2 linked regions of the Danio rerio genome follow. The protein of the gene in region 1 purifies or fractionates together with the protein of each later gene. This does not show direct contact. Links are inferred from orthologs where the notes say so. Each region holds a gene or a part of one and is shown on either strand. Other genes may lie near its edges. The genes, in order: ppp1r10 and tox4a.

What was found.
Region 2: the proteins of ppp1r10 (region 1) and tox4a purify together in Homo sapiens (affinity purification with mass spectrometry; 3 studies listed by BioGRID and IntAct, counting the BioPlex papers as one, with this or other methods). This does not show direct contact. The link is inferred for Danio rerio from reciprocal best matches to the Homo sapiens genes PPP1R10 and TOX4.

The regions. Positions count from the first base shown.
Region 1 is NC_133194.1:32,884,239-32,901,473, forward strand, and holds the start of ppp1r10 (serine/threonine-protein phosphatase 1 regulatory subunit 10), read right to left. Parts: upstream 9,324-17,235; 5' UTR 9,305-9,323; intron 9,122-9,304; 5' UTR 8,810-9,121; exon of another isoform or gene 7,461-8,809; intron 7,372-7,460; exon of another isoform or gene 7,298-7,371; intron 4,225-7,297; 5' UTR 4,216-4,224; coding exon 4,109-4,215; intron 3,812-4,108; coding exon 3,725-3,811; intron 3,644-3,724; coding exon 3,508-3,643; intron 3,416-3,507; coding exon 3,364-3,415; intron 3,271-3,363; coding exon 3,184-3,270; intron 3,074-3,183; coding exon 2,942-3,073; intron 2,651-2,941; coding exon 2,545-2,650; intron 2,413-2,544; coding exon 2,309-2,412; intron 2,177-2,308; coding exon 2,073-2,176; intron 1,990-2,072; coding exon 1,830-1,989; intron 1,743-1,829; coding exon 1,599-1,742; intron 1,422-1,598; coding exon 1,175-1,421; intron 1,016-1,174; coding exon 940-1,015; intron 843-939; coding exon 630-842; intron 546-629; coding exon 416-545; intron 1-415. Other genes in the region: mrps18b (small ribosomal subunit protein mS40), read left to right, coding at 10,224-10,304, 10,432-10,579, 12,650-12,747, 12,833-12,901, 13,328-13,394, 13,481-13,540, 15,404-15,609; abcf1 (ATP-binding cassette sub-family F member 1), read right to left, coding at 16,580-16,746.
Region 2 is NC_133177.1:41,088,192-41,104,690, forward strand, and holds tox4a (TOX high mobility group box family member 4-B), read right to left. Parts: upstream 16,447-16,499; 5' UTR 15,866-16,446; coding exon 15,761-15,865; intron 15,482-15,760; coding exon 15,422-15,481; intron 14,145-15,421; coding exon 13,842-14,144; intron 12,652-13,841; coding exon 12,400-12,651; intron 12,316-12,399; coding exon 11,995-12,315; intron 8,869-11,994; coding exon 8,788-8,868; intron 8,705-8,787; coding exon 7,979-8,704; intron 4,430-7,978; coding exon 4,278-4,429; intron 3,975-4,277; coding exon 3,917-3,974; 3' UTR 3,228-3,916; downstream 1-3,227. Other genes in the region: si:rp71-1g18.1 (uncharacterized protein LOC559922), read left to right, coding at 148-1,007. UniProt on the Homo sapiens protein: Transcription factor that modulates cell fate reprogramming from the somatic state to the pluripotent and neuronal fate. In liver, controls the expression of hormone-regulated gluconeogenic genes such as G6PC1 and PCK1.

The sequences.
Region 1 (17,235 bases):
TTCTGTGGCCAATCAGAAAAAGGGGGCTAAATAATATTGACCTTACAAATAATTAGTAAAAATTAAATGAACCTTTCACAGAAGAGCTAATAATTTAGTTTGAAACTTGATATGAGCAATTCCAGCTTTATGGATATTTATAAGGAAAAAGTTTTCATAGATGTGACATCTCTCCGTTATTAATGTGACAGATGTGAAATTAGCATTGTTGTGACTTTGGTAAATCAAATATAATTGTTTGAAAACATTGACAAAAACATGAAGTATTTTTGAAGTACTGTCAAAAGCTTGCACAAAAAAAAAAAAAAAAGTAGAAACGGTTTCAGTATTTTGGTGAAAACTTCCATGGCAAGGTTGACATTTGCATGGAATTGCTCATATAATACATCAAACATTTAAAAAACCAAATACATACTTGGTGGAGCATTGGGAGGCGCGTTCTGATTCTGGTTTTGCTGCAGAGAACCCAAAAGCTGCTTGATCTTATCAGAGAAATCCGGCTGTTTGATCAGGTCTTCTGGAGACTGATTAGATCCGTGTGCACCCTGAAAACAAGCAAAAGGTGCGTTTAAAGCAAAGCCTTTTCACATTATCATAGCAGGTCAATGTAGATGCGTATTTCTTCTTACCATGATAGATGAGAGTAGTTCCTGCACATTAACAGCTGGGTTATTATTATTATTATTGGCTTGTGGGGCATTGCCCTGTGCCTGCGGGCTGCGGCCGCTGTTGCCCAGGCTGCCCATGAGGTTGGCTAATACAGGAGGCAGCTTGGAGCCTTCATTAGAGCCGGGAGTAGAGGCAGGATCAGTGGAATCCATGTCCTCTACTATACTGCTATCCTAAAGCACCACAAAATGAGAAATGTGTCAACAAACCAATGGCTAAAAATAAAGACCGAAAATTCAACAAAATGGGGAAGCATCTACAAAAACATACCTCGTCCAGTGGGATGAGACGAGGAGGCATGGGCTCATACGGCTCAGGATCTGGCTCATGAGGACTGTCTGGAACACTGCAGAAACAATATTAACCTCATTTAATTTGTGTCCGGGTCATTATTGTTGAAATCTATTAAACAATCAACTAAAATATGAGATTTAGTGTGTTAAATGTACTGCGAATGCCCTTTAACATGACACACTATGAAACAAAAGTCCCGGAAGTGTCTTACCTCTCCTTGCAGAGGAAGATCTCCTGCAGAATGCCCATCTCTCGGTCTCTCTGGATCATCTTCTCTCGGCTGCTGGCACCTGCAGTGACCAGGCAGCCTAATAGGGTCAAGGGTCGCGGTGGGGTCCAGGGCACCCTCTCCTCCATGGTGTCATGAGAAAGACGACGAGCCATTTCAAACGTCTGCCTGTCCATCATCAGCTCCCGCTTAGCCGCCTCACCAAAGTCCTTAATTTTGTTCACATTCACTAAAGTAGAAGGGTAAAAAGTCATTATTATTAAATAAAATACTTTATATGTATGATGAAATATGATTATGCACTACTGATCAAATGTTTAGGGATTTAAATGAGTAATTTTATTACTTTTATTCAGCAATTAATCAAAAGCAGCTTTAAAGCCATTTAGAAAGAATTTTTTTTAACCTCTCTCAGTTTCATCCAGATCGAAATAGAAGTACTCTTTGAGATGATCCTCTTCCGCCCACCGCACGCTTTTCTTCTTCTTTCCTTTCTTAGTCAGAGTCTCCTCCTCGCTGCGAGGTTCAGCCAGAGCATTGGGTTTATCACCTGCAAACACATTTCAACAGAACTCAGCACATTCACTCATACAGCTTTGAGGAAGGCTATTGTCAATGGACATGCGATTAAACCCACCGGTTTCCATGGCTTCAGGCTCCTCGGTGGGCACGGGTGTGCCAGGCTGCTCCAGTTCTTGATTCTCATGAGGAGGGGTTTGAGATGAAGGCGTTTCAGGGGAAGATGGTTTGGCCTGTGCGCCTGAAAATGACTGCGGCCTGCTGTCAAATGGACAGGGCTGTGGAGTGAAACAAAACATTCATTATAGCAATTGTTTGATTCTCTAGATGTCTAATGAGGGCTGTGTGTAAAGAGGCATACCTTATTACTGGTGGGTGAAACTGCTTTTGGTTTCTTTTTCTTGATCTTGATGCCAGGCACTGGAGCAGAGTTGAGGGCGTCCAAAAATCCAGTGGCCTCCATCGCTAATTGAAGAGAAATGGAGATTGAGCACTAGTTAGAGGGGAAACTCTTCTCTCTCGAAACTATTTCAAAGCTTTTCCGCAGATTATCATAATCGTATTGCTGGAGTTGAGGCGCTGAATGGGCATACTCACGCTGTGGGGGTATGAGTTTGACTTTGATCTCTTTGGTTGAGTTGGGGGTGGTGTTAAGTGGCTTGTACTTCTTTTCCACTGGTGGTGCGTCAGTCAAAGATGTGCTGAAAGAATAAAAAAAAAGAGTTAAGGATTCATTTCAAATCTTCTGAATTCCAGTCATGATAAAATGAGAAGGACCAATCTCGGATTAGCTGCTTCTCACTGGAAAGAATGAAGCTAGAGTGGGCACTTACCTTGGTCTTTTAAGTACAGCTGGCTTGATGTTGTATTTGTCTCCAAGTTGGGGTGCAACGGGTGGCTTCTTCACAGGAACTGGAGCCGGACTCTCCACCTCCAAACCTGAAGACCAAAGTAATTGAGTAAATTAAAGACAGCGTTTTTAAAAGTGTGTAATCTGAGACAATAAATAAATTCTGACACTCACTTGCTGCACAGAAAACAACAACAACAAATATTTAAACAAGGCCAATTCTAATATATGAAACAATTCAAATATTTATTAGATTTTTGGGTTTTTGTTTAAAGCCTAAATACAAATACAAAGCTAACAGTGCAAATGTCTCTGAATCAAAAACATAACCCCCTCCACCCAAATAATGCTGTAATATATAAACAACAGGGGTGACTTACCTGTAGAGCGGATCTTAGCATGACTTGGAGCATAAGCTTTTGGTTTGTCCTTCTTCTTCTCCTCCTCAGCTGCCTTTTCCTTTGGCTTCACCTCTGGACGCACTTTTCCATCCTCCTTTTTCCGTTTCTTGTCTGATAAAAAACAGATTGGGTTATTTGCCACTAACTTGAAACGCACTTACCTAAGACTCACATTGAAAGTGCAGCAAGTCTGATTTAAGGGAAAAAGGTAGAAGGCCTACCATTAGGCGATGCTCCACTGGAGACGCTCTGAGAGCGAATAATAGCCATCCAGCCATCCACCAGCACAGATGCCAACTTCCTCAGCTCTGAGAAAAAGAGAAACCACAGAGTTCATACTTGAGCTCTGAATCTAAATAAACAGACTGTCTGGCATAGATTGGTGGAACATGTGCTCTTACCTTCTGTCTCTCCGCTCTTGCTCAGATGTTTCACCAGCTTGGCAGTGTTATTCTAGCAAGAGAGAGCAAAAAACAGACAGGAACAGATGTTAGATGACTGCGGGAATGAGTGTGAGTTATGTAAACCACGGTGTGGTGAAGTACCTGTTTGAGGTGGTCCACAGTAAGAGGAAGCTTCTGCAGGGTCAGCAGAATGAGCTGCAACAGAGGCGTGTTGGTGGTGGTCTTCGAGTAGGTGAGCCAAGAGTTCAACAACTTGTAGCCTCCAACTCGAATGAATCTGTGGCAAAAAGATATAACCTTATAAACAAAAGATTTATAATCAAACTGTGTTGTATTTTATCAGACGCTTCCTTCTTACCGATTTAGCACATCATGTGATTTTGTCTGAAGTAATATGTTCAGATACATGCATCTGCTGACCATTTTATGTGAGGCCTTCATCAGACTGTTGGGGAAAAAAAGAAAAATGTGTTAATTTGGTTGATTTTACAAGAAAATAAAAGTGGTAAAAATTAATTATATGCACATATAAGTCATCATTTAAAAAAAGAACACTATATATAACTGCAAGTTATGTACGTATAATATATATATATATATATATATATATATATTATACACCTTAACTTTTCTGACTTTGACTGTAATGTAATAGCGTGCACCTTTTGTAAAGCTGCTTTGAAACAATAATTATAGTGAAAAGTGCTATACTAATAAACTTAAACTGAATACAGTATCTAACCTGAAGACTTTAGCGACTCCCTCAAGACTACGTAGTTCTCCATCCTTCCCCAGCAGAGCTTCAACTCCTTTCAACACCTCTCTGGGGTCCACTGGGCCCACGGCCATGGCTGCTTACTGACAGAAGGAGAGAAAACAGGGGGTTATTCATGTGTTCCTGCCACTGGGGAGAATCTGAGATATGGCATAACTTGCCCAATCAATACTGAAAATATGAGACGATGACACTTAAAGAGAGCTCACTGGAACAGCCCAAGGACAATGTTGAATCATTCAAAAGTTACTCCTATTAACCCAGGCGAATGAGGATCTGAAGTAACTTGGAAGCAACAAGCTCAGCATAAATGGTGGTATTACTACTATAGACAACACAGCAAGGCTACTGGCAGCAGTGTATGTATGCACTCGATGAATGGAGAGACTGTTTTCATGTTCAGCTGAATCATATATGGACAGTGTCCGTTTTCAGGTTCCCATTACATTTGTTTTACAATCACAAGTGCAATCTTAACCAGAGAGAGATACATTATGTTTTCTATTCACAACAAATACATGTGCTTGTTAATTAAATTACTACATTAAACAACAAGTGGTTCTTATTGATCTTGGTTTATAACTTAGTGAAATTATGTAATTATATTACTAAATTAAACTGAAATTCTTACTAGATGCCAGAGAAATAAAGAAAGATTACACTGGAACTAACAAATTGTATGATCCCTTCCAAATAAACCAAAAGATGCATCTTATGGAAGCACCTGGTGTATCTGTTATAACATTAGTGATGACTGCAGAAAGAGTTGTACAACGATCACATGACAAGGCTTCTAGTTTCAACTATAATTAAATTAGTTTGTCACTTATTCAATTACACCAGAAAAGGGATGACTGGTTATGTGAGCGTTGTAGGACTCATATCTGGAATGATGAAAGATAAATAAAAGTAAAATGTTATTACATGTATTATGTCACTGTCATAAACCCACCTGCTTATATATACACTGACTGTACATTACCCAAAGTAAACATCACAGGTACAAAGGACTTATAAAACGGAGTCTGGTGGCTGTGACAGTAATGTGCATTCAAGTCAAGTTATTTAAATTGCAAATATAAATGAGAAGAGATAAGAGGGATGCAAAGACAACACTGAAAAATATTTGAGAATGCACTTACAGCTGAACATTGTTTTTACAACTTCTTTTATTTGTAATGAAAGAGTAGAAATTGTAATGATAACCCTCCAAAACTACTATTACCCCATTTATGACAAATAATTTCAATATACACTAAAGAGGAAACAGTAAAGGTGTGCAAATGAGTGATGGTATTTTTCTGTTAAACAGAAAAGTCAACCACACATAAGACTCTGGAATAAATATACAATCTGTCTATAGACCATTTTGAGGCATGTAAACAAAAACAGTGGTCCCAATATATGTCCTGTTTTACATTTTTATTTTCCATAGCTTCCGAGAATCCAAAAAGGTCCACATATTGATAAATAATGTTATGATAGCCGTTTTTAACATAAAGTTATGATCGAATTGCCTACAGTTATGAAATAGTTTTATAACAAGCAGGAAATGTTCATGGGCCAATGACATCACCACATTGAAATGATCTAGTTTAAATTAAAGTTTATAGAAGTGTTGAAAACAATATGCTATATTATAACACTATCAGCAATAGGTATGAGAGCTGGTGTGAGAAATGTAAATGTCTGTACTGAAATGGTTTATACTTGGATATTAAAAGTACACATTTATACTTAAATAGTTTTAAAGTAGTAGTGACAGCTCTTGTACTTATTTCTGAGGGTGTCAAATTGGAACATTTTACAGATATTAACATTTCTTACTGGTATGAAGCTGTTAATTAATGTGAGGGACCCAATGTAAGCTTATCATAACACCTTCATGTATTTAAGTTGTTGTTTTTACTCTATATAATAATACATTTTCTAATATGAAGCGAGACCAACATGTATAAAAAATTTAAGTAATAGATTTAAATATTTCCCCAAAACATGTTTTTATTTAATCCTCAGTGTACAGAAATCGAAAACCACAAGGTGGGATAAAAATTGTTAAATTATATTTAAATGAATAATATAACAAATTATAATTATAAAATGATTTAAAAAGTAGCTACCTGGGAATATTTCATTAATAATTACTATTTAGCTGTGATGCATTACATTTTTCCATACCTTTTAATATAAATATACATGTATATAGTAAGAACAAAAGTTGAGAAAAAACAAACAAACATGCAAATAAGAAAGGGTAAAATTGATTCCAGCAGACTTGATTCCCCGCCTTGTGGATCAGTGTCCAGCTCAGAAAACACTCGTACTTGCAACTGTACTTTCACCAAAGGTTTTGTGGAATTGAACACAAGGCTTTTGAAGTTGTATGTCGCCACCTTGTGACCATTTCTAAATACAATTTCTCTCATTACATTACTGAAATACAACTGCAAACTGCGTGATGTAAAAATACAAGTTTTGAGGGATGTAAACAAAAACAGTGGTCCCAACGTGTTTCCTGTTTTACATTTTTAATTTCTATAGCTTCCAAAAAGAGACACATATTGATAAATATTGTTATGATAGCTGTTTTAACATTTAAGTTATGATTGAATTGCCTCTTGTTAGTTATGAAACAGTTTGATAACAATCAGGAAACGTTCATAGGCCAATGACATTAAATGGTCCATTAAATGTGATTAATATATTAAAATAAACAAATATACACACAATGTACATTTTGTTAATAAATGAAATCAATAAGATCTGAGGAAGCCAAGTCAATTAGAGAGAGAGAGAGAGAGAGAGAGAGAGAGAGAGAGAGAGATCACGTCACTTGCCCTGCCCACGCTGAGCAACAGCGAGTATTTCTGCCTTCATTTCCTCTCTCTACAGCACAATTGACTGGAAGCCGACGACTCAACACAACTAACTACAGCAGAAAGATTATCAACGCGACGGATTAGATTACACATTACAACTAAAAAACACGTAAACCGATAGTATGGAGATTTGTACGACTTTTAGGCATGCAAAAGTTTAGCAACGTTTTATTTTCTACGTAATTTTCAAGACAGTTGAAAATGTCTACTAATGGCTGAATCGAAAAAGTTAAACTTACTCACTTTTGATCGTGTGAGAAATCAGGTTTTGTCTTACCCGTAACACTGTTGGTGAAGAACTTTTTATAGTCACAACCGAACTCCTTAAACACGGAACAATACACACAATTCCTGGAAATGTCAGTTGTCATGACAAACAAGAAAAAGTGAACAAGATTTCATGTACAGTCACTGTAAAGAAAACATTAACGTTGAAGTACCTGTCAAGATGTTACAAGTTGTTTGCTTACTTTTTAAATAAACTTAACTATTTATATTTAATAACTTTTTGTATAATAATGGCTACAAATAAACCAGTTTAACACCATGTAAGTTAACCTACATTCACTTTTTAATCGAGTTTACAAAACTGACCAAGGATTGATTGAGAACTTGTCAACAGAGCAATACAGTGTTGGCCTGACTATAATACAATTATTTTCGTCTGCTCAATAGTGGCCACCAGGGGATTTGATTTGCCATCTGTCGAAGTCTCCCTCTCATTTAGCAGCTCGCCCTGAGCTGACAGCGGCTCCTCTGATTGGCTGAAGTCCGAGCTAAACCACGCCCATTATCTTTAACCACTTGTCCTCGTGTACGCGGTGGGCTAAATAGAACGGATGCACGGTCGCCATCTTTGAACTGCAACAAGTCTTTTAAAAAATACGATATATGTCCCCCGCCTGCTGTTTATCTTACAAAAATGCTACATTAACCCCGCTAGCGACTCATGTATGTTAAGACGATACCTCAAGCTGTAAATGGGGATGATGGCGACGCGACAGCCGTTCCGAACTAAAGTATTTCCTGTAGATCCAGCCAGAAAAACAAAGCCACCATTGCCTCAAGAAAAGGACAACCCGTCCGCCATTTTAAAGCAAAGTCGAAAAGACAAATAACACCCCATCTACGCACACGACACAAAAATGCAATCTTTATACTTAGACTGCTATGCATTTCATACATTATCACTGCCTAGGGAGGTTTATTTTTTTCACCAAATACTATCACAACGATATCCACAGCTCCGCCAGCTATTAACCTATTATGAACAAAATGTTGCATTTCCCTCGTTCGGCTAAATCCACAGGCGCCACTTTGGCAATCTTTATGTGTAGATTGCGTTGGTTGTTCCAGTGAGCTCTCCTTTGAAAAGAATGCAGTTTATAAAAAAAAAGCCCCAATTGAATGCAGTCACTTCCTGACTCTGCCTATGGCAATCTTTATGTACAGATTGCTTATGATTAGCGATGGCTAGCTCATTATTCGATGAATTATCGTTACTTTAATTATGGTAAGGATTGCTCCGTCTCACACACAAAGAGAAACAGGGCGTTGAAGCCGCTGCTCTGGCTTTGCAATGTGAGCTCATACGCTATAGCTAGCTCTGCCTCGCTTTATCTCAGCATGCTGTCTGTCCTCTAGAAGAAACTGTGGCGCATTAAGGTCGCCACAGTCGATCTTTCTCTAAAGCTTTCATCTATATTTATATCTGAAATCATTTATAACACAAACAATTGGTTAACTGTTAACGTAGTTTCGATTCAAATTGGTTTGAAAAAACACTTACTATTAATACCTCTCCTCTGCGTCTCGGGTTGCTATTAATATTTTGTGCTTAACAGCAACAAATTTCAGCTTTATAACAGTTTAAGAGAACGTAAACTGTCATGACTTAAGCATTATTGGCTGAAAAATGGCATAATGGGCGGGATTGTGGTGGCTGAAATTGAGATTTTCCTTCTTGAACAATCTGGAGCAAAAAAGGTAGTAAGCGAATGTCCGTTACTCGAGTAGAAAAAAGTAAGAGATTTTGGGGTTTTCTCTTCGTACACAGTTGAAAAATCCTCGACGCCAGATCTTCACTGAGACCGACTCAGACCTGAAACGAAACAACAGGACAAAGAGAACGTAAGAAAAAAACGCATTTTTGGAGGCGGAAATCCAGGTAATGTTCAAAAAGGCCGGATTGTTGATAAAATTGATGATGTAGCCAAAAGTTGGGGCAAAAACACTTTAAATCGCGAAAAAAAGTAAGAAAGCTGTCCTTCGATATAGCACTTACCTCAGACAAATCCAGGAATGCTCTAGAAGGGTGGGACTCGGTATATATGGTTCTGACGTTTTTTGCGTCATTCCAGTGGCGCGAGCGCGCTTTCGGGCGTTTCTTTCGACACAAAATGGAGCTGATGATCACGCGGTCCTGTCGCGCGCACACTCTCGAAACGACCTTCTTTCTTTGTTCAAGGACGAGCCCACCCCAACCAGTTACTATGGTTTATGATTCATATGCTCTTTAAAAAAAAAAAAAAAAAAAAAAAAAAAAAAAAAAAAATATATATATATATATATATATATATATATATATATATATATATATATATATATATATATATATTGTATTCAGTCAAAATGACACATTAATGTTGCAATTATGTAGTTTATCTACCATATATTCTATGTACTTTGCGTCGATTAAAATAGTTCCAAAGAGAGAAATGTTTGCGATTAAAAAAAAGCATAAATGTTATTTTAATTTATATATTTTCACACAGATTTTCTTTAACAGCATCAGTCCTAATGATAATCAGATCATTTATGCATTGTAGAGATTTGAACCCTTAAAATAACAGTTTGATTATCACTGATGTTTGCTGTTTCTTGTAAAATAAATCCATTATTTTTCCTATACTTAAGGCTAAGCAGATAAAAAATACATATTAATTGTGTCTTGGATAAGATCTGAAACATTCATTTTAATTATTTATAGTTTGCCATTGAAAACAAGCAAATCCATTTAAATTCCAACAAATAATATGCGTATAAGACTAAAACTAGACTTTCATGACAAGCTGACTTTGCAAAAGACAACGCGTGTTTAGTTTTACAACAAATAGAAAACGTGAGATAAATAATAAAAGCTGCGTACTTCCGTCACAGTACACTTTAACCGTTACAACTTCCGTGTTTCCTGCAAAGACAAAATGGCAGCCTCCTTACAACGCATTGGGATAGTTGCTTGCCGCACATTTCCCGTTAATTTACAACGACATCTTCAAGCACAGGTTTGTTGATTATAAATTAACATTTTAACTGATGTTTTTGATATAACGTGTGGTTATATAAATGTCGTGTTTACAGCGAAGTGATCACGTGAAGAGGACGAATCACGTTCTTTATTTTGCATTGCAGAGAATTCGTGATGTAAGAATAACGTCCATTGTCGCTCCGGTGCATCGTGTCAATTATTGTGCATCATCTTCATCTGCTGATAACACCAATTCAGCGGAGACGCTATCTAGATATGCAGACACACCATGGGAGTACTTAAAAAGTGAAGGTAAATATGACTATTAAAGTATATAGTTAACATCAGTGTTGGGGAATGTTATATTTAAAAGTGGTGCATCATTGAGTTACTCCCAAGAAGTAACGTTAACTAGTTGCGTTACTTTGTTACTTTTATGGTAAGAAGTCCAACTCCCTCTCAAGAAATGCGTAGTGGTGGAAAGAGTACTGATAAATCATCAGTAAAAGTACCATTACTTGCCCAAAAATGTAGTGCAAGTAGAGTAAAAGTATCTGTTGTGAATATTACTCAAAGTATGAGCAAAAAGTAGACCCTTTAAAAGTACTAAAGATTAGCAAGTAGTGAGCATTATGCTGTGAAAGGCTGATGCGTTTATATGCAAGTTGTGCAGGGATATGTAAACGTAACATTAGTGCATTTAGTTAGTGTTGACAAATTCAGTCATTATACAGTTGGCATCACTCTTCTCATCAGTGACTTGCATCTAAGCCACAAGTGTTAAACTCAGTTCCAAAAGGGCCGCAGCTCTGCACAGTTTAGTTCCAACCCTAATTAAACACACCTGATCAAACTAATTGAGTCCTTCAGGCTTGTTTGAAACCTACAGGTAAGTGTGTTGGAGCAGGGTTGGAACTAAACTGTGCAGGGCTTCGGCCCTCCAGGAATTGAGTTTGACACCCCTGATCTAAACAGTCTCTTGGTCGTCCATCTTCTTGGACACTGTTAATGCTTCCAAGCAGTTTGTTACATTTATAAAGCATGTCTTTAGGTTTAGGATGATATAAGTTTGTTTCTATGTGCGATTTGGTTGGACCAGAATCACAGGACTGATTATTCTACTTTAGCCAATGCCCATAGACAAAACAAGTAGAGACTGCAGGTTGAAGGAAAGAAGTGGAGTAAAAGAACTTTACGGCACTAAAAATGTACTCGAGGAAAAGTAAAAATTCACATTTTAAAACAACTTACTAAATTTCAATTCTTGAGAAAAGACTGCTCCATTTCAGTAATTTGAGTATTTATAATTTGTTACTTTACATCACTGGTAATGCGTCACATTACTTTTGCGTTACTTTTTTTATTACCTGGCTCAGGCTTAACCTCTTTCAGAACTTTTTTTTTCTTTTTTAAATAGAGGAGTTCTGCAATTATTTATGCACTGTACAACCCACATTTACCTTTAAAAAAAACACAAATAAAAAATTTTAGGATGTTATTTGAGAAGTTCCTGACCCCTGAGCTATGAGCTATACATGCCGTATATACAGATTATTAAAAGTTTAAAGCAATGTGTTTGCTGCTTTTGTACCATTTGTCTTAAGTAAAATCACTGTCCATTGAGACTATAATCCCCTTTTCCTTTTGTTTAAATGAAAAAATGCATTCAAAATAATGAACACATTCTCTCATTGACTGCTTGATACATTGTGACTAATTTTAATTCACTTATTTTTTAAAAGCTATGTAAAGAAACTTGAAATAATGTGTTAATTCGTTTATGATTTAGAATTAGTTTTTTTATGATTTGTTGAATGAATTAAGTTGTTTGGGGACTTTAATTATGACGTAAAAATTGCGGAGCCTACTTGATATATTGCGTGTAGTAATGATTGAAAACAAAGTATGGAACGCTAGGCGAAACACAGTAAAAGTGGCACAGGTATACGGTTACTTCACGGATTCCTCCTTCATGAGTTATAGCTCCTGGTTTGAGGGAAAAATAAGGTAATTTGGTTTATTTGTTTAAGATTAATGTTTAATTGTTGATGTTGGCTTAGTGTTTTAATTTTCGGGATTTATTTGTTTTGTTTATTTTCTCTCTAGTTCATGATGAAAAAATACATACTAATTCTATGGAATGTGATTAATAAATGAATCGTGAACAATTAGTGAAGGACGCTACAAGCTAATTAATTGAAACTAAAAAGTAAATCTAGTTAAATTTTCGAAAAAGTAACGTTACTTTACTCGTTACTTAGAAAAGTAATATTATTGTGTTGTTGCAATGCTTTACCCCCAACACTGGTCAACATATATAATAGCATATAATATAATAACGTATACCAGCATATAATAACTTTAAGTTTTTGTTTTTTTAAGAATACATTGAACGCTATGGAACAAAGCCTGTGTGGACAAACTACAGGAGGAATCATAAAGGTGGGATCCCACCTCAAAAGACAAGAAAAACCTGTATTGTGAGTACACATTTATTTATTTATTTTTGTATTATTACCAGCACAGTCAGTAAAGTATGAATTAATGATTTGTGTTTTGTCACAGAGAGGAGATAAGAAATGTGCGAACCCGTGTCCCATCTGTCGTGATCCAAATATCATTATCCATTACAAGGTTGGTTTTTGAGACGCTTTTATAATCATTTTTATTCATATGTGTGTGTGTGTGTGTGTGTGTGTGTGTGTGTGTGTGTGTGTGTGTGTGTGTGTGTGTGTGTGTGTGTGTGTGTGTGTGTGTGTGTGTGTGTGTGTGTGTGTGTGTGTGTGTGTGTGTGTGTGTGTGTGAATACAACACTTAAAAGCAGGCATATAATGGTTTCAGAATTTCTTATGATATCAATATGAATATTAATTAAACCTTCTATAATAGGATTTTAAATACTTAAATGATACATAATTATTCACAGTATTATGGATGCTTATTGTCGCATGCCTTTATATACATGTATGTGTGTGTGTGTGTATACATATACACATGTGTGTATATATATATATAAAGCTTAGTGGCATTTATTATAATTTTACAATATTTGTTCTGCAGAATGTGAACTTGTTGCAGCAGTTCTTTTGTCCTGAAACTGGAGTGGTACATGATCCCACAGTAACCGGTAACAGATTTATCAGTACATTCCAATGGAAATTTTTTTTTTATCTGATCTGATCACCACTTTTGATTTCATTTATTTTTCTGTAGGTGTGTGCATGAAGCAACAGAAACTACTTAGCAAGGCTATTGAAACTGCTAAAGATTTTGGTAAGTTGGTGTTTTTGCAATTTTAATTAGCGCCTTATAAAGGGTGTGTTCATACTTGGCAGGTTTTGATTGGATTAGAAGGGTTCTGGTGTAATTGCTCTTAGTATGGTTCATTTGACTGAACATTGTCAGAACTGCTTTTCTTTTAAAGCAGATTTTAATATACATATGTCAGCGTTTGATTATAGATTTCTCTGTGCTGCATTGACATTTTCACTAGACATGGGCCAGTATTCACCTTATTCTTCGCGTATGAGCTGGTGCAGCCATTGAATACTTTTGGCTCGAGACTTCCTGTCTCATTTACTTCCATTCATTTTTAGACATTAAAAACTGCTCGTTCTGCTGCTTGATGTTGCAAACTGACATTTTCCTATTATATTATTTTGCTTTGTCTTTATAGTCATGCAAACACTTGTTTGTAGAGCAAGTAGTTTGATCGTTTTCTGCAGTTTTATTATTCCTAGTCATTTCTCCCATAGGCAACTGAATTGGGAAGTTCTAAAACAATCGCAAAACCATGCACACTTCCGCATTGAAGAATAAAGTCAATAAGATTTTGATGGTATAATAACCTTGGATAAAAATATCACAGTTTCATGGTATTGTGATTACCTTTTAAATGTATTCTTTTTAAATGTCTGGGTAAAAAACTACAACTTTTTTCTCTTTGAACACAATATATTTTATTTTGAGAAACATTTAAAATTTATGGAGCAGTAAACATGTCAGGCTAAATAATTTAAATTAATCATTGACTTCTGTCTTCATTAGTTTCAAAAACACTGATTTCTTTACAATTTAAAACGGCATCTTTGGACATTTTTTCTGTTCGAGATACTGTTGTCCTAAAAAGCAACAACAAAAAAACATAAACAAAAAAAAATTCACATACATTAGGAACGGTATAGCAGAACATTTTTTTGTGTATTTAAAAACATTGACTTTTTCAAACCGCGGTATACAATGACTGTTATCGTCCCATGCCTAATCTTCAGACATCTTATAAGCTCTTATTTGTTTTTATACAATCACATGCACACATCATTGTTGGATGTTCAGGAAGATCTGTTGCAAAATATAAACTCTAGAAGTATTTCAGTTTTTAGTTGTTTTTATTACATCCTTAGGTTCAGTGTTAAGTAATAGTGTGAAATTTAAGCAACCCAGGGCTTAATATAGCATTTTTTTTGTCTGGACCAAACCAACCAAAAACTCTTAAGTGTGTTTTTTTTTATTTAACCTAATTAAGTGTTTCATGTTCATGTCAAACTAATTAGATCTCAAACCAGCTAAAATTGCAATCGGTTTGGGCATTTTTATTTTATTCTATTTTTATTGAAGCCAGCTTGTCAGACCTCTACATAAAACACTTAGCAGATAGTGGCAGAAGTGTGATGTTATGAGAGGAAACAAGAAAGTGTTACGCAGGTATCCATGATAAACAATGAAAAAAAAAATCCTGACAATGGCTTTGAGACATGTCAGAAAAGTGGTTGAGAAACCGCTAATTGGGATGAAAATGCAACACTGTTTTTGTGTTTAATAGATTAGGCTACTTATCAAAACATTGCCTGGCGTTATACACAAATGAAGATCTGCAGCGAGGACATGTTTTAACATCTATATTTTAGTGTCACAAGCAACATCACAAACTTGAGCATTTAATTTTATGGTTGCATCTTGAGACATCATGTCCTGTTATTATTGAAAATTGACTGATTGATATCCACTTGTTTGGTGCCACAGAGTATATTTTATTCAAAAAAACCTGCCAAGTGTTAACACACCATTAATCCCTTTTAAAAAGTTGGTGGACATGCTCGAGGGATATAATCTCATACATTTTTTCTCTCTCAAAAGGTTTACTTCGTGCCCAGTTTGCACATGTGGATTTCACTAAAGAAGACTATTCAAACACTCATGGTGCTGTAACCACAACTCCTCCTCCATTTCCCCTCAGCTCTGGAGAACTGTGGTATTCTTGGTATGGTAGTATAAAACCAGACGAGCGAGAACTGGCAAGAGTGAAGCGGATCTACAAAGACTACCTTAAACCTGAAGTCTGAATCTTGCTTTAACAGACCTTAGTCAGATGAGATGGAGTCCTGAAATTTGTGTACACATTTACTGTGGTGATTGGTCACATCTCACTTTTAAAATAGTTGATGTTTAGTCAGCTGAACAGCAGCAGTCCATTAAACACATTACTATAATTAGTCAAAAAATATTCCAATTATCAATAAAATACAGCTTTATCCAGAGTAAATTCTTTAAGCAAAGCAAATTTGGAATTTTCATCCGCCTTGTTTCTCTGCCAGCACTTAAAACGACCACAAGAAAATAGACATTTGCTTTTGACATGGTTACATTTGTTCCTACCAAGACAAGCATAATATATGAAGCATAAAATGAAATAAAACTCTGAAAATCTTGACTTTATTGCAAAAATCATTTATTTGCTTTTTCAAATCATTTAAATTTCGGTTTCTATCCAAACCCAATGAGTCAACAGCCCTGCTTATTTCATAATTCTAGACAGATGCATCACTGTATGAACACAGGTGAGGGTGAAACAGTTTGAGGCTGGTTCAGTATGTCAGCACAATGATAATATAATGATGTGAACGCAAGAGCCAATACTATGAAGTGGCATTAATAGTAAATAGCATTAGCAGTCAGACACCGTTATCACACGGCACACTTCTAGTCCTCTCTGTTCACATTTGATAAATTCCCACTGTGGCGATCAGTTACAAAGCAGGTTTAATAGCATTGCATCAGAAAGATGAACAGAGCTGGTGATTACATGACCTGAATGTAAGATTAACACAAGAATGCCAGACATCATGACTAAAGAACAAGCCCTGCATGTGAAAATACTGATCTGGCGTCAGCTTTCACTCGTCCTGCAGCTGTAGGGTTTGTATGTTTGCATGCAGGTACTTTTTGGTTCTATTGAGAAGTAGCAATGTAGACGCAGCAAAAAGCCCTTCAGTGATGTAGTTTGACACTCCTGTAATAAACACCGGCCGTGCTTCACTCTTTAGGCTTGTTGACCAGGGTCTCACCAAGGGCCTCCAGCACTTCTCTCTTGTAGTCTTCAAAGTCTCCGTCGATCTGGTTGATTGACTGGTCCTCCACCACCCACAGCTGGCACTGGGTCTCTGTGATCAGCCTGGCATCATGGCTCACAATTATCACAGCTAGAAATGGGTAAAGATGAATATTAGTTGCCATGATTTTGCCTATATATCTTTGTACATATGTAATGCTACATTGAGACTACATAATGTTTTATTGTTAGGATAATCTTGTCCTGTTGTGGATAAGACCACAGGATGCTTACCGATCAAACATTGTTAACCATTACAAAAGATGTGTGTGATGCCATTGAACTAGACAATCAAAACAAAACCTCCACAGTGGACACACCATTGTAATTCCACATAGCAGCGCCTCTCTTTTGTTTTGCCATGTTTGAAAGAGCATCTGTGGACCTCTTGGTCAACATCACACAATTTTTGAGGACCAAAAACATGCTAATCTTTTTGTTGGTTACATGCAAAGCTAATGGAATAATTTAGAAACCACTTGTGCATTCCCTTTGTACTCTAATTTATACACCAAACAACACAACAGGATACCTATGTTTAACTTTGGCTTAAAACCGAAGATGCTTTATAATGATTTTT
Region 2 (16,499 bases), on another chromosome or scaffold:
AATAAGAAATATTGTGATGTGAATTTTTGCTCTCCTACATAAACCATAGTTGTTTTTCTCAGACTATCCAGTTGTTGATGCTCTAAAAAAATGAGTGTATCATGCTGAAATATCTGAAAGCTTTAAGTGTCTTCTGTGCTCTTTCAGGTCTTCGAGGACTTTCTCTTGAGGAACCGTCTGCACACTCTATAGTGGATCCAGACTCTCATCTGTTCAGCTCTGTTTTAGACAGCATTCCCATTGCTGACCTTTCCACTGACACTTTGAGCCAATGGGACCTTAGCCTTGTGGATGTCAATCCTTTGCCCTCACTTGAAAAACCTGAAGCTCCTCATACCAGCGAAATGTCATTGGAGGACACTGAGCTCAGCCAGGCCTCGGCCAGCAGTGCCGCGAGTGGAAAGAAGGTGCGTTTCCAGCTCACCCAAACACCTTTCGACTGCAAACTTTTAAGGCCCTGTTCTGTGCAGCTTGTGAACCTTCTGATGGTGTCCAGCGCGCACAAGGCAAACGGTTCCAGCAAAAAATGCTTCTCCGCACCCAAAGATCTACGTACGCATCAGCGGGTCCATACGGGACGCAGACTATGCTGCTTTAAAGAGTGCGGAAATGGCATTTGGCGCCTGCAGGGCGTCCTCGCTCACGGGCATCCTCACGCCTGCAAGATCTGCGGCAAGAAGTTCAAACGCAAAAAGATGCTCAAGCGGCACGAGCGGTTCCACACAGGAGAAAAGCCGTATTCGTGCAGGAGGTGTAAAAAGACGTTTGCCCTGCGGAAGAGTCTACGAAGGCACGAACGTTTCCACACGGGAGAAAGGCCCCACACTTGCCCCCACTGCAGGAAAGCTTTCCGCCTCAAGAACAATCTGAAGGCTCATCTGCGCTTCCACACCGGTGAAAAGCCCTACATTTGCAACCTCTGCTCCAAGGGTTTCAGGATCCGCAAGAATCTGGAGAAGCACAGACTCCTTCACTTAGCGCCGGTTAACTTTCGAACTCTTCAATAGCAGAAGGGTCACGTGATCACATTTCTACCTCGCATCAGAACCACTGGATCCCAAACAGCACAGAGTTTAAAGCACTGGCGATTAGGTGACTTATTTAGTGTGTTTCCACTTTTTGTCTTCAGGAGTGTTTGTGGAGAGTTGCTCCTCACACCGTCTATGCTAGTTGTGAGTTGTTCATGTCTTTTGAAGAATTGTTTCATGTCACTAAGCATTAAGTGTCCAGGGCATTAAAGAGCCCATCCTGCAGTTCACCGCAAACAGACTTGACTGATTTCTGCTCGATGTAAATATTCTGTAATAATCGTAGCTCTAGAATGCTTTTTAAACTTTACAACTTTTATAATCTGGACCTTTTAACATGTCTGTCTGGCTTCTTGCAACATGGTTTACATGTTGTTGAACACTGGAGATGGTTGAGATTTGGCTTTGTATGTCTTTTGTATGTACTTTGAAGAGATTCTTAAATTGGACTTTTTTAGCACGCTTTCATTTCTCAAAACAAAAAGAGAAAAGTGCTTTTCGTAACTCTTTTCAAACATTATATACTCATTATTATAGCTTTTACATGCGTTTTCTAACTGTTGTTTCTGTGTTTGGACCAAGCAGCTTTTTTTAATCTCAAGTTTTCAAAGATTATTTGTTCTATCCTTTGTGTTTCTTATAATCCATCTATGCTTTCTTGATTACATGCTTTAGTTTGATATAAAGAAAAACCTTAGTGACAGATTTGTGGATTTATAGCATGTGAGTTTATAAAGAAGAAAAAAGCATTTATTATATACATCCTGTTTTGCCATTCCACATAGCCATTATGAAAAGACAAGTTTTTTTTTTTTTCTTTCTAATAAACGAATAACCATATGGTTCATAAAGTTCACTGGGCTCATTTTTTATTTTTAATGAAGGTTTTTATTATATTTACTATTTTAAAAATATATATATATATATTTTTAATGATAGATTTGAAAAATTAAGCAATAAAACAAGCGATTCCAAACTTTAGAATATAGAATAAACAGTGATGCACATTCAATCTTCCATAATAAAGCTCTGGAATTCACTCTTTGCCATTAAAAGGGCACCTATTTTACCCCTTTTTCAGACTTATTTTAAGATAAGTCTTGTGTGTCTCCAGTATGTGTCCTAAGTTTCAGCTCAAAACACCCATCAGTTTATTTATTATACCTTTCAGAACGTTAGAATTTTCTGCTTTGAACACAATGAAGCTGATTTTTTTGTCTGTGCCCTTAATTCTTGTTCTCTCTGCCCACCGTGTCTTTCAGAGTATGCCTCAATCTCCGCTGTATCAGATGAACAGCACAGTGAGACATGAAGCAGATCTCACGTAGTGTTTGTGAGAAATACTACAGTAACAACTTTCCCAATGATTATTTGATGTGTTCGTTGTGGAGTTTATTCAAGCCTGCAACGGTCACACAATGTCGTAACAGTTTACGCGCACTCACACACACGCACACACGCACACGCACGCACGCACACACACAGTGCAAGTTGCAGTGTTTTGCACAACAAATGTGACAGGATACATGTTAATATCCACTGCTGTAAGGATATGTTAGGTTAATGAACAAAATAAACCTTATTTAACGTCCATAAACCAGGATTAAAGCATCTTTTATAATTGTACTGACACACGACTGTGGTGATGACAGTAAAATCGCTGTAATGATTATAGACATGCACGGTTTTAAACTTGTAAAACCCATTCTTGATCACATTTGATGATGATTGATGATCAGAGAGCTGAACACATCTTTTTTTTTCCCGGTGTCTTTGCCCGTATCCTTTTGTTGATATGAATATACACGTTACTACGGAGACATGTTAATACGCAGCTGTAAATCAATCTGGTGGGCGGGAAAACCGCCCTCCTATGTCACGTTGTGGCAGGCCTCAAAATGGAAGTGATTTGGATTATAATTTAACGTCAAGAAATTAAAAAATAAATAAATACAAATAAAAGAGAGCCTTCTTGTCTTTATATCACCCCAATATCACTGTAGACACACTATACCTGCACCGTTCTGTCCAAACTGCTTACCAAAGATGATTTTCATCATAGGTGCCCTTTAAGTCAGGCATTGTAATATAAAAAAATGTAAACGAACTCATTGACGCCATGTAAATATAATTTCTTAACTAAAATGACTGCATATATATATATATATATATATATACTATTTGAGATAAATTTCTGGGAAAAAAAGTTTATTTTTATCATCATCATACATTTGTTTAAATGATCAACAGACAGTCAGCTGTAATCACATCTACCAGTAGGGGAACATCTGCAGTTCATCCTTTTACTGACAAAAAACAAATCAGTCACAATAAGATGGTGTAATCAGCAATTATTTCTGAAACTTGGTCCATTATGGCTGCCATTTATTAATACTTGAGTACTTTCTGTAATACAATATATAAAAAAGTCAGCAAAACAAATTCCCCATAACTAAGGCAAGATCGAAGACACTGTCAGCACATGAAATAAAGATCTGAAGAATGATTGCTTTACTGTTTGAGGCTCACTAATACCGTTATCATCAATATGACTACATTAGAAAATAATATAACAGTTCAGAATTTTCTCAGGTTAACACAAATAACAAGCAGCATACATACAAATCTAAATGAAGGATGATCTTCACTGTGTTCTGAGGTTCAGCAGTGAAGAGAAAGTGTTCAGACTGTGGTTCGGGGTATTCGTCAACAGCTCCGTTTATGACCGTGATTTTTTTTTTTTTTGTTCAATTGTCTTTTCATGCTTTCAATATTTACAACACAAACACTAAACCTTCACTAGCAATTCCAGTAAAACATCGTCATGTTAACTTGTAAAAGACACGTCCAGGCACAATCAGAGCCAGTATCAGTGGGATTTGCTTGGTTTATTTGACAGCGGCTGAGGTCTGGTTCTTGATTGAACACCAGGCCATGAAAACATCTCTGTGAAAACAGTATACACTTACGGTTAGCAAAATTAAACTGACCACACAGAAAAAAACAACAACTGGGAAAAAACGATTATGCTTCTACAGCAGTGGTCTTGAACTCAATTCCTGGAGGGCCACAGCTCATTGCAGCTTCAACCACCTCCAACTCACACCTGCTTAATAGTCTCTAGTAGTCTTGATGAGTTGAGTTGGATCAGCTGTGTTTGATTTAGGTTGGAGTAAAATTGTACAGAGCTGCGGCCCTCCATGAATCCAGTTTGAGACTGGTGATATTCAATATATCTGCAGTCCTCACCTGCAGTGTGTGGCCACACATTCATTGCTGCAGTATTCTTTATCCCAGTCTCGACTCTCCACAGCTGGGTTTGTGCATCCGGCTCGGACACACAGATTAGCAGAAGCTGTTGAAGAGGAGGCAGCAGGAGCCACGCTGACCTCCATCTCCATCTGAAAAACAAGCCCAGAGATTAATGCTGTGATGCATATCCATCTGTATCTGATCTTATCATGTCATCAAGTTTAATTAGTAAACAGTAGCAATAACACAGTTTTACACTGTTGATGAAACTAATCTTCAGTTAACTTTCTTTAATTGGATCTCTGACTCTTCTACATCTGACAGACTGGCCATTTTTTTGGTTAAAGCTGTCGGTTTACCAAAAATCTTGGTGCTTGTTTTTATTACGGACATGTTTGGACTAACATCACATGATATCATTTATTTCATATATTTAATAATAGATGAATTATTGTGTAAATAACTCTGTGTGTGTGTTAGATGGTAAAGGTGAGGGCCGATGTCCTGCATATTTTAGTTCCAACCCCAATTAAACACATCTGAACCAGCTAATAAAGCTCTTTCTAGGTATACTAGAAACTTCCAGGCAGATGTGTTGAAGCAAGTTGGAGCTAAATGATGCAGGACACAGGCCCTCCAGGACTGAGTTTGGACACCCCTGGTATAGGTGATGTATGTATTGTGCATGTAGAGCTGCAGTACAATAATTGTCATCTGATTAGCATGCTAAGCTAACTGCGGGTAGTATAATAAAAAAGAAAACAACACTGCAAAAGGTGAAGCAGAGGACTTCCTTACTATTAGTAGGCCTATTGTAACATTGCTGCCTTGTTTTTCTTGTGTAGATGAGTGTTTTGTACACGGTTATGGATATATAAGATTTTTAAAACATAATGATAATAATAAGTGGTCTTATAACTTTATTCAATAAATGTTGGTCTAGTTTTAACTTGCTAGCAGTGGAAGTAGCCACACTGCAAGCTCAATAATGTACATCCAGCTACTAAATTTCCTTTACTCAAGAGACACTTTTAAACCTAAATGGTGTAGATGGTGTAAAACATTCATATAGCTTAGTATGACAATATTTTCTAAGATAATATCATGCCGATACACTTACAGTCATGACGCTCTAGCGCCAGTACTTTGATTTTATTATTCGAACGAATAATATAATTCCATAACGGTCCGCTAGATGGTGCCATTGAGTTTTTTTCTGGTGAGCAGAGCAACCTTCAGCATGCATGCAGTAAAATTGGATGGCAGCATCACAGAAAGGTGTACACAACGTTAATGGCAGGTTTTCATTAAAGTGTTTGTCTGCTTGACAATCCCATTTTCCACTGCATGTGTATATAGCAGAATATTGCTATACATTTGAAAAATCCTAAATAATATTATATCAGGACAAGTATTATAATATTGTATCGTTTCCCACCCCCAGAATAAACAATAGCTGTTTTATTGTTACAGGGACAGTTCACCCAAAAAAGAGAATTCTATCATTTATTCACCTTCTACTTGTTCCAAACCTGTTAGCGTTTTTTCTTCTTCTGTTGATCATGAAAGCAGATATCTTGTATATATGTTGGAAAGCAGCAGCCACTTCCTACTATTGATGTCAATGTGTGTTTTTTGTGTTTAAAGGGGTGGTCCAGAGTGTATTTCTAAGGCTTGGTTGTGTTTATAAGATGCAAAGCAATGTGTGCTCATGCTTCACATGTTGAAAATCACGCTATTTTTTCATATACCTTACTTTGATTATATACAGCTACTCAGCTAACATGAAAACAACTGTCATATTTCCTAGTTACTATCCCTCAATAGGCTCTAATTAGTCATCTAACATAGGCCCAATCCCAATTCTATTTTTGTACCCCTAAAAATTTACCCCTAAGAATTGGGACACTACAGCACCTGCACACACCATCATACGTCATCACAATCTCTTGCTTCATATGAGATCAGACGATCGGGACTGCTGTAGTTATTCCAGTTGTGTTCTTTTTGGTATTTATCTTCAGGAAATCACTCAAGTCATATATTATTTTATCATAACGATATAATGTGGCAATAAGATCATAACTATACTGTGTATTTACACCGTAGCCATATTCATCTATGCAGACACAATAAATCAACATTATAGCAGACGAGCTCATTCCCAACCACAAGACTTATCTGACAGGGGATTCGAGTGTCATCGAGAGTCAGAATGTTGTGTAACTGCTATACAGGAGTTATGATTAGGGATAATAGATAGCGATATTAGCAGTTTTTATTTTAGTGTTTTTGTTTTTTAAACCATGACGGTAAAACACAAATGCTGTTATGAATATATTAAAACATGCTTGTTTGTCGTAAAAATTCGTAATAACGACAAAATAAATACTAATTTGTGGATCTCCTGACTTCTGGTGCAGCTATACTGCCGTTGCGGCTGGTGTATTCTGGGAAATTTTCTTACCCCTTGGTTTCGAGTGTGGTCCTGAAAAATCTCATTTTGAAGGGGTATCAAGCCCTTCCCCTGAGCCCTACGCTATTAAGCTAAAGAGAATTGGGCCACCCCTACCCATTCACCTGAATGCACAAAAGAAGGGGTAAGGGGAAGGGTTAAGGGGGAGAATTGGAATTGGGCCATAATGTGCTGTGACTCGCAGATCGACTCCATGTCAACAGGAAAAGCGTCACACTTCTAATAGCACACGCTGTGCCTTTGCTGTGTAAATACTGTCAGAGTAGCTGTTAGCCGTATCAGTTTCAGCCTGAACAAACTTTACATACATTTAGGTTGTAAGCATGTTTAAGCAATATAAAACGTTCTCATATCTTTTGTGAGTTTGTTATTTGAGATGTAGAACACAGGGAAAGCGTCTGCATTGAGAGACACTGCAGTGCTGATGAAGGTTGTGGGTGTTCACAGCATTTTGACGGATAAATATGAATTTGTAGTTTAATTTTTAGCGGTGCCAAACAGCATTTCCTGTTGTTTATATCCTTGTCTAAGCCCTTGCTTTAACATACTGTTAACGCTAGACACTATGTCATAGATCAATTTTAACAAATAAAAATACTTACAGGTTGTGGCTCACAATCTACAGCTTCTTATATAGTGGTTGGATCTGCTCCTCCTTTGAGGAGTTTTTAGCCGAATCCAGCACTGAACTGTGAGAGATTCTGGATGCTCTCCCTTGTCAAATGCTAGCTATATCTTTATCATAATTGCCTGGAACATAATTAAAATTAAATTGTAAGCACTTCTCTCTTTGTGCCATGCCCTTTGGAAGCTCAAATACAGAAACAGAAGATGCTCTGTGGAAATAGCAGCATTTGCATGGCATTTTAGCCTTCTCTGCTATAACATTACAGCGCCTCCGACCATGCCCCTTCACTGTGCAGGGTGAATGTGCCTAACCTGAAGTGTATGTGATCTCACTAACCCAGATGTATTGTTTGTAGTCCCCAAACTTTTGCTGTAGGCTTTGCTAAGCTAACTCTGTAAAAGCCAACATCTCCCTTTGCATTGAACTTTGAGCGCATTACATTTAGAGATGATGTTTATGTTCACACAGCTACATTACACATCAACCAAAGCTTAAAATATTATATGATAGTGGACCACCCCTTTAATAGTGCATAAATGGAGAGGACATTTTCATTTGTGTGTGAACCATCCCTTTAAATATGGGAAAGCAAACCTCTTCAGGCTCCTCTGTCACAGCCTCATCTGTCCCGGTGTGCAGCTCCTCTCTGGGTTCCTCCACTTGCACCTCAACGGGAGCAGGATCATCTGCGGCTGAGATGCTGGATGCGGAAATCACAGGAGTGGCGCTCGCTGCTGTAGTAACAATAATCGGAGTAGACAGGTCAGAGTGTATTGAAGCGGGCACGATCTTTATCTGGAGAGGTGGAGGTGGAGTAACGGTGATGCCCACAGAACTGCCTGCTCCTCCACGGGGTTTGGCCTGAAGAGGCGGAGGGGCTTGTGTTTGCACCATCTGCTGCAGGCGGGGTGGAGGCGGTGTGCCCTGCATCTGCTGCAGAGGTGGCGGCTGCCGTCCAGGCTGTACGGCTCGCACACCAGCTGGAATCACCGTGACCATGGATGTTGGGATCTGGTGGAGCTGAGCGCCTCCTTGAAGCATCTGCTTAGAGATGATGATTTTGGTGACAGTGGGCGTCGGGGCGGGGCTTGGTGCTGGAGCTTGACCAATGGCTACAGGTAGAGAGCCTGTGCGGGAGCGAGTGGTGACCTGAGGCAGGTCCAGGATGATATTGGAGGCGCATATGTTGGTGATTGTGTTCTGTTCAGTGATGGGGGTCAGCCGAGGACGGATGGGGGCAGCAGGAGGAGTGTGGATGGGGGCAGGAGATGGCATAGAGGGAGGAGTGGCAGGAGCGCTGTCTTCAAGCTCAGAAGATGACTGGATGAAAGACGTTGAAAAAATAAGTAATATCAGATAAATGTGCAAATCAGAAACTGACAGGCTAGAAATTAGACACTCACTTTCGAGAGCTGACTTGCTCTGTAGGCCGCTAACGCTTTCAAATAGTCTTTCTTAGCTGCCTCTGTCTTCCTCTTGTAAACCTGCGAAAATTAATAAAATGAAAATTAAAAATGACACAAACTCTTAAATGGTACAACAAAGGCTTTTACACCATGTGTCTTAAATCATTTAGTGAAGTGACAAACCACTAATAAAATTAAAAATGTTGTATGTAAGGTTTTGATTTTTTTTTAAATCATAAAAATACCATAACACATCTGCAGATATTTAAGAAACATGCTAATGCCGAGTTGCATGATTTTAGCTCTGATTTTGACTCGCCAACAGGTTTTGTGAAATCGCCGACAAATGCCTTGTAACAATCACAGAGTATGAACTATCAAAGACAAGATCTGAGAGAATTGCAGACGAGTCGCTGACACCTGTGAGATATTTGACATGCTAAATATGTGGAGCTGTCGGTAATCTATAATCAAGCCGTGTGAAATGTGTTCTGATTGAAAATTACATCGGCGATCACCTACAGCCAATGAGAGAGCAGCATCCACTAGTATGGGTATCTGAGGGTCAGTGAGAGGTTGGGGGAGAAGTTAAAAGCACTTATTTTCCATCTATTTGGACCCAACAAATAGAGGAAAACTAGTAGAAATTTGGAAGAGCACTCGTGTCTGTTGGACGTGTCAGAGCAATATCACAACCAGGTCGAAAAAGAAAATGTTGAGAAGAAATAGCAAATTCCCTTCAAAAGTCATGTGAGCAAAATAAGTACATTTTCTACCCCACTAAAGGCGTCTTTCTCTTTTGATCTAATTATCGACTATAGATATACTACTTAACTTGATCTCGCGTGTTTGGTTGTGAAATGTAGTTTGCAGACCAAGACAAAAGTTGCCGCCGATTTCTACTATTGTAAAGTCATGTGGTTTGAAACCCCCTGTCGCCGATCCATCTTGCTGTGTAAACAGCACTGACAGAATGCTGCCCCTGATAGTCATGCAGTGTGAAAACATCCATGATGCGACTACTTTAAAAAAATCATGCAAATCTGTACTCTGCATAAGTGAACGCTTGTTATTCATGCAAATCTGAACTCTGCATAAGTGAACACTTGTTTATCTGAAAAACAAGAATTCAAGTCTGTTATTCTCCTTTGAAAATGTGCGCTCCATGTCGGAATGTCTGTCTTAGTTTTGGTCTCAATAACCAGCCCACTGCCAGTTTACCCAATCATATTTCAGCACACCAGGCTGCCTTGGTGGAAAACACCCCATATTTCTTTTCAGTTTTGAAGGCTGCCTCAGTGTATGCAGGCGCAGCTAAAATTGCAACCTCCGGAAGACAGCAGTAACCTCCGAAATGAGATACAAGAGTCATAAAAATCTATGAGATTTTATTTTGCAAACAATTGAAAGTTTCCCAACATAACCATCAGCTGTTTAGCTTACAGGGAGCACATTTACATAAACACCAATACTCCAATGTTAATACGATTAAGTCAATACTCTTAAGAGTCTACCATGTAAACAGAAATTTTTGATTACCTTATTCTTCTGACTAAAGTAAGAATCAAACTGTACAGTAATCGCATTGCAAAGATGTGAAGTATCTGTAATTTAGGGGCATTATTGAAGTGCAGTACAGACATAAACACTTTAATCAAATTATTACTGTTTTGAAGTACTTTTCACTACATTTTGCGACAGGATGCACACATGGTAGTTGTCAGGCATTTGACGACAAACAAATGAAAAGCTAGTGTATGAAATGGCAGAGGTGGCCTGTTACTTGAGAATTTGTATCCGCTGTCATTTGTTTGCATGCATAGTGTGAGAAATTAACTGCAGTTGAACTTAAACTGAAATTAATAACAAAACATCCAAAATCACATATGGTGCCAGTGCTTCCCACAGGTTTGAAATATACTTGTGGTGATAGCCAGATTAAAACACACCATTTACCCACATCAAATAAATAGTTAACAATATGCGACAAACAAAACAATTTAATTTTTAACAATAATTGTATTTATTATGACACTGTTATACATGGTTTCTTTTCAATGGGTTAAAGTAAAAAAAATAAAATAAAAAAAAAACTATTCAGGAGCCATGTGCACCCACTGACAGGTAAAACTTGCTTCTCCCTCTCAAGTTTAAAGCAAACTTGCAGGTCAAAGCATTTTTGATATGCATATAAAACACACAATATATTGACATAATTAAATTAAAATATACAGCAAATGATGAACAAAAAAATAAATAAAAACAGACAATATCTCTAAAATGACCATAATTACAAGATTAAAACGTGTAGATTATTTAAATAAGGCAGACGCATTGATTAACCATTACTAATGTTGTACATATATTTTGCAGCCAGTTTAGATTAGAGAATGAATTGTTTAATGTTTCTCTTGCTCTCGCAACTGCGCTGTCAGCTGTGACGCCAAGCGAAAGTAAGCTTAAATAAAAATGTAATGCAAAAACGCATAATGACAGCTTTAAAATGTAAAAGCAAAAGCTGAATCCCAGACATTTTAGCAGCTTTAGAAACAGGGGGCAGGCAAATTTCCCAAAAAAGTCCCAAAAAAAGCACGTCTCTGTGGGTCTGCAGAGCACTTGAGACTGTCTGTGGGAGTGTTGACAGTTCAACATAATTTTCACCTACTTAATCAATTGCGGATGTTTGGTTATGTTGGGATGATACAAAAAGTGTAAAAGTATGACAATAATACTAAAAAATTGTGTCAATTGGGCAGCTGTTAATATTCCTGGGCGACCCGCCTGAGCAAAGTCTATGAGTGGGAAGCACTGGGTGCCATGATGAACGCGAACTTATGTAAAACGCTGAATGAAATTAGTGTTGAATGTTGATGTATAGACGTTTAACGAACTATATACTATAACGTAAAACAGGATCATGAAAGGAACATTCAAAAAGCAGCTCATGTTAAACACCTTACTCTTATTATTGTCTTATTCAGATTAAGGCAAATAATTAGATTACTGATGTCCATGCAAACATAGTCAGGATAAGGCACGATCTTCAGCAATGCTCGTAATTTATTGTTATCATTAATCTGGCAACCTGCGTGTACGTCATGTTGTTATTGGAGGAACCATGTAAAAAAAAATGCAATACCTAATTGCATTCTGCATCTTTAAGCCTGGTACATGAACAGAAGAGCATTATTAAGGACTCCATACCTGTTTTTGCTCCTCTCCCAGGCTGTCCCACATGGAGGCCACTATCTTAGACACCTCTCCAAATGTGGCATTGGGGTTCTGGCCTTTAATGGCAGCCTGTGTGTCTCTGAAGAACAAAGCATAGGCTGACACTGGTTTCTGTGGCTCATTAGGATCTTTTTTCTTCTTTCCCTTTTTGACCCCGAGTGATGCTCCTGTGTCCACTGTGGCCACTGGCACCATGGATGGCTTACCACCCACCCTCCTCACCACAGGTGGAGGAACAGATATCTGGGCTGGACTGGGCTCAGAGACAGCGAAAGAGTCTACCAGCATGGTTTTCTGAGAAAGAAACCGGGAGATGTTGCAAGATGAAAAAATAATGAAAATGTGCCACCAAAACAGGCTTATATCTCAAAAACTCACTTGTCTAAAATCCTCCATGTCTTCATCCTGCAGTGATCCAGAAGGGGACGGTGTGGTTGACAGCGGTTGGTCTGGTGATTTTGACACAGATCCTCCACCAAGGCTGAGCCCTAACTGGGCACTTAGATCTGAGTGGTCTATGGTGGTGAGCTGGTTGTGTCCTAAGAGGCTGTGGCTCATTTCGTTTATTGGAACATCAATAGTCATGGAGGAGGAACTAGCGAAATGAGAGCCAACAGAATGGCCAAGATCCTAAAAAAAAGGGGGAAAGAGAAAGATTCATGATCTGAAAGTGCAATCTACACTCTAGATCTAATTACATTAACAGCCATTTAAAAGGTCATTTGTAAAAGCAAGAAGTATGGAGGCAATAATACACATCTCTCATTTAAAAATAAAAGCATTCTCAGGATATTTAAAACTGTTATACAGTTTTATATGATTTGGTCTAAAACTAAAATCTCGATTAATTGAATAATTTAACTCGATTATGATTAATGAACAATTATTTAATTTCTTTTGTTTTTGCCCTCATAGTTAACAAGTTACATAAAGTGACAGGTTTTGTGACAAGCTTTGTACAGTAAAGTGTAGCTATAACAGTTGTGATGTGTAATTACTTTTTTTTTGTATGTGAAGGCTGTGCCGGACCGTACATGTGCTCTTGGCAGAAGCATAATATCAAAATAATGCAAGTAGTACAAATCATAATACAATAAGTATAAATCAGCCCAGAATGGAGTCATTTGAATTCACAAATGGTAGGAAAAGTAATTGAAAAAAAAAATGTATCTGAAAAAATTTGATTGATTATAAATTGTGAATGTCGATTTTGATTACTTTTAAACTACCATAAAATGCAATGTCAGATCTTTCTAATATCATACAGCACTAGTTTGAAAATAATTTTATGTCAAGAAAGAAATTTTTAGAAATACTCATTCATGCATGCACTTAAAAACGACTACTGAACAAGTAGGATTGGGTCATAGGGCATGTTACAAGATTTGTGCCTAAATTCCCTGTAAACCAGGGGTGCCCTAACTTTCTTACGAAGGGCCAAAAACCAAACTTGATTAAGGGTGCTGGGCCGAAGCTAAATATACCAAACTGTATTACATTAAAGTTGGCATGGTAACTAATAATATTTAAAAATAGAAAGAAAAAAAATACTTTAATTGTATTTGTATTTATTTATCTGACAACAACCCTTATCAATCTAATAAATGGATTTCTTTCCAAATAGAGCTATTCAAGCCATCTGGTTAAAATGTATTCAAATCGCAATAAATATCGCAGGAAAAAAATATCACAATGTCAGATCTTTTCAATATCATGCAGCCCTATCTAGCATTTTATAATCCATTAGAAACAAGTGCTGGATTTCCTTTAGCAAACACGATGCAGACACTGCTGCCACTGCTAGAAAGAGAAAAGCTTACCACACCCAGAGTTGAGCTCAGCAGTGCACTTCCGCCCTGCTGGTTCATCACACCCAAAGTCAGGTGCTCCATACCCTGAGATGAGGGATTCATGAAGGTGGAGGCAAAAGATGGATCATTTCCCCCAACTACAGTATTACTGGCAAGAACACTTCCAACTCCAGCACCCCTTGAGCTCTCAGCCTGTTCGGCCAGCTCTCCAAAATGTGCCTCCACATCCTCTATGGTGAGAGCAGAGTCTGGATCCAAGGAGATTGGGATTTCGAACTCTTCATCACCCAGACAGGGTGTATAGAATGTTTTCTGAAATGAAAAATAAAGACATAAGAGCAATTCCAGCGCTATGGATGCGACATTTGCAGTAAAATCTCAGAACATAAATTCACAGAGAAATTATATATTAACTTTGTTAAAACATCTGTTTATATTTTCCAAAACAACTCACCACAGAGTTATGGGATCAGAAAAATATCAATCTGTAAACATTTGTTTATTTTATATGAGGAAAATAAACATACGTGATGGATGTGACCAAAAAAGTTTACAGTATGCAACGTACTTTGTACAAGTTCTGTGAATTAAATTGGACAATCTAAAAGAAATAATGATGATCAAAAGAATACATGTTTGCTCTCTATAGAACAAAAATGACTGATTTTATTTTATATTTTCACATTTATAAGGAAAAATCTTTGTTATGGATGTGACATCTCTTGCCACTTGTGTGACTTTGGTAAATCAAATATAATTGTTTGAAAATATTGACAGAGACATCTTTGAGTATTTTTGCAGTCCTGTTGAATACAAGCCTAGACAAACAAAACCTAGAAAGAGTTTCGCTATGTTGGTGAAAACCTAATTTTTTTATGGCAAGGTAGAAAGTTGCATAAAAATTTTCAGAAATAAAATATAAAAACATGTATATAAAAAAATACACAAGATGTCCCATTCTAGTGCCTGCATCAAACTTAATTTATTAAAGATATCAAAACATATTACACTTAAATGTCTACTTTAATATTAGGAAGATCTTTCTGAAAATTAAATCTGAGAATATGAGTGAAATAATGTCTCAAAATCATCACATTGATTTCATAAAAATTAAACAACATACTTTTTCAAATTTGTGCCAATTAAAAATATATATAAAATGATGAGAGATAATCATTTTTTAACATTGCAAACTTTTTTTTATTTTGGGTAAAAAACTAAAAAGTTTAAAGGAGAGACAGTAATTATAAATGCATGTTGGGGCTGCTGTGTGATCATTATTAGACTTTTAATATTTTACCAAGTTATAAATATAAGTCTTGTTATAAATATTCCTGACAAGCATTTATTTTAACACAAACTATTGATGTGCTAACGTTTTATATGGTGTATTTTATAAAACAAGGTAAAAAGATTTATAGTCATCTTTTGATCACAAAATTTAAATAAATCCAGAGACACTTTAGTCACTAATGGAAACAAATTAAGATATATAACATTATATTGCATGCTTTGACGCTGTAAAGCTTAAAATAATACATTTAGTCAATTTAAGCTAGCTCAGAAAACAGTCCAAAAAGAAGCACTACCTCAAGAAAATGATGACCAGGTCCACTGGTGGTCAGGTATGAATCACTGCCACCTGCAAACTAATAAACGGATGTTAAAAGGTGCAATAACCACATGCAAACGCGTTTTATTATATAGTTACGTTGAACTGAATATATATATATATATATATATATATATATATATATATATATATATATATATATATGTATATGTATATATATATATATATATATATATATATATATATATATATATATATATATATATATATGTATGTATATATATATATATATATATATATATATATATATATATATATATATATATATATATACACACAAAGCAGCCAGACTTACCTTGTTTACTGAATCATATCCATTGTAGGACGAGTTGTCCATAAACTCGGAATCAACATGTTGACCGGTCCCGTCAGAGAGTTCCGTGTAAAAATTCAGATCCATGAGGATACTATAAATACTAGATAAATATATAAATAATGTCTGTTGGGTTTCTTGATATGAGGAACGAGTGGGCTGCTAATATTCCAAAAGCAACAGACTAAAGCAACCAAAAATACAAATAATGAATGGGAAATAATGCTAGTCAGCAAAAGAAAAGAGCCAAGCAACACAGCATCTTGTATTGTTCGGCATAAGGTTTGTGCTGCTCGACTGAATAACGTCAATAAACTTCATTAGACGATCCACAGAGCAGCGTTAATACAACCAGAGCCGTTAAAAGCGTTTATGATGAGTGGTAGGTGAAGGCTTACCAATTTAGCCACTAACAAATTGAGCTAACGTTAACTGGCTAATTCGTGCTAGTTCGCAGAAGCGCTGCTGTTAAACCCCAACATGAGGTTTCATTCATAACACAGGCCTCGAGGGCAGAGAATTCGCCTGTTCGCTGAATGTAAAATCCAACATTCCATTAAATAACACTATAAACTGTACACTTTTAATATATATTCAGATTGAACAAACAAAGTTTGCCTAGAGAGTCTCACTAGCATGGATAGCTTCTGCCAGTGCTAAAATGGACCGATTCGATCGGTACTCTGCTATGTTTGTCTGTTTGCAACTTGCAAGTCTTATT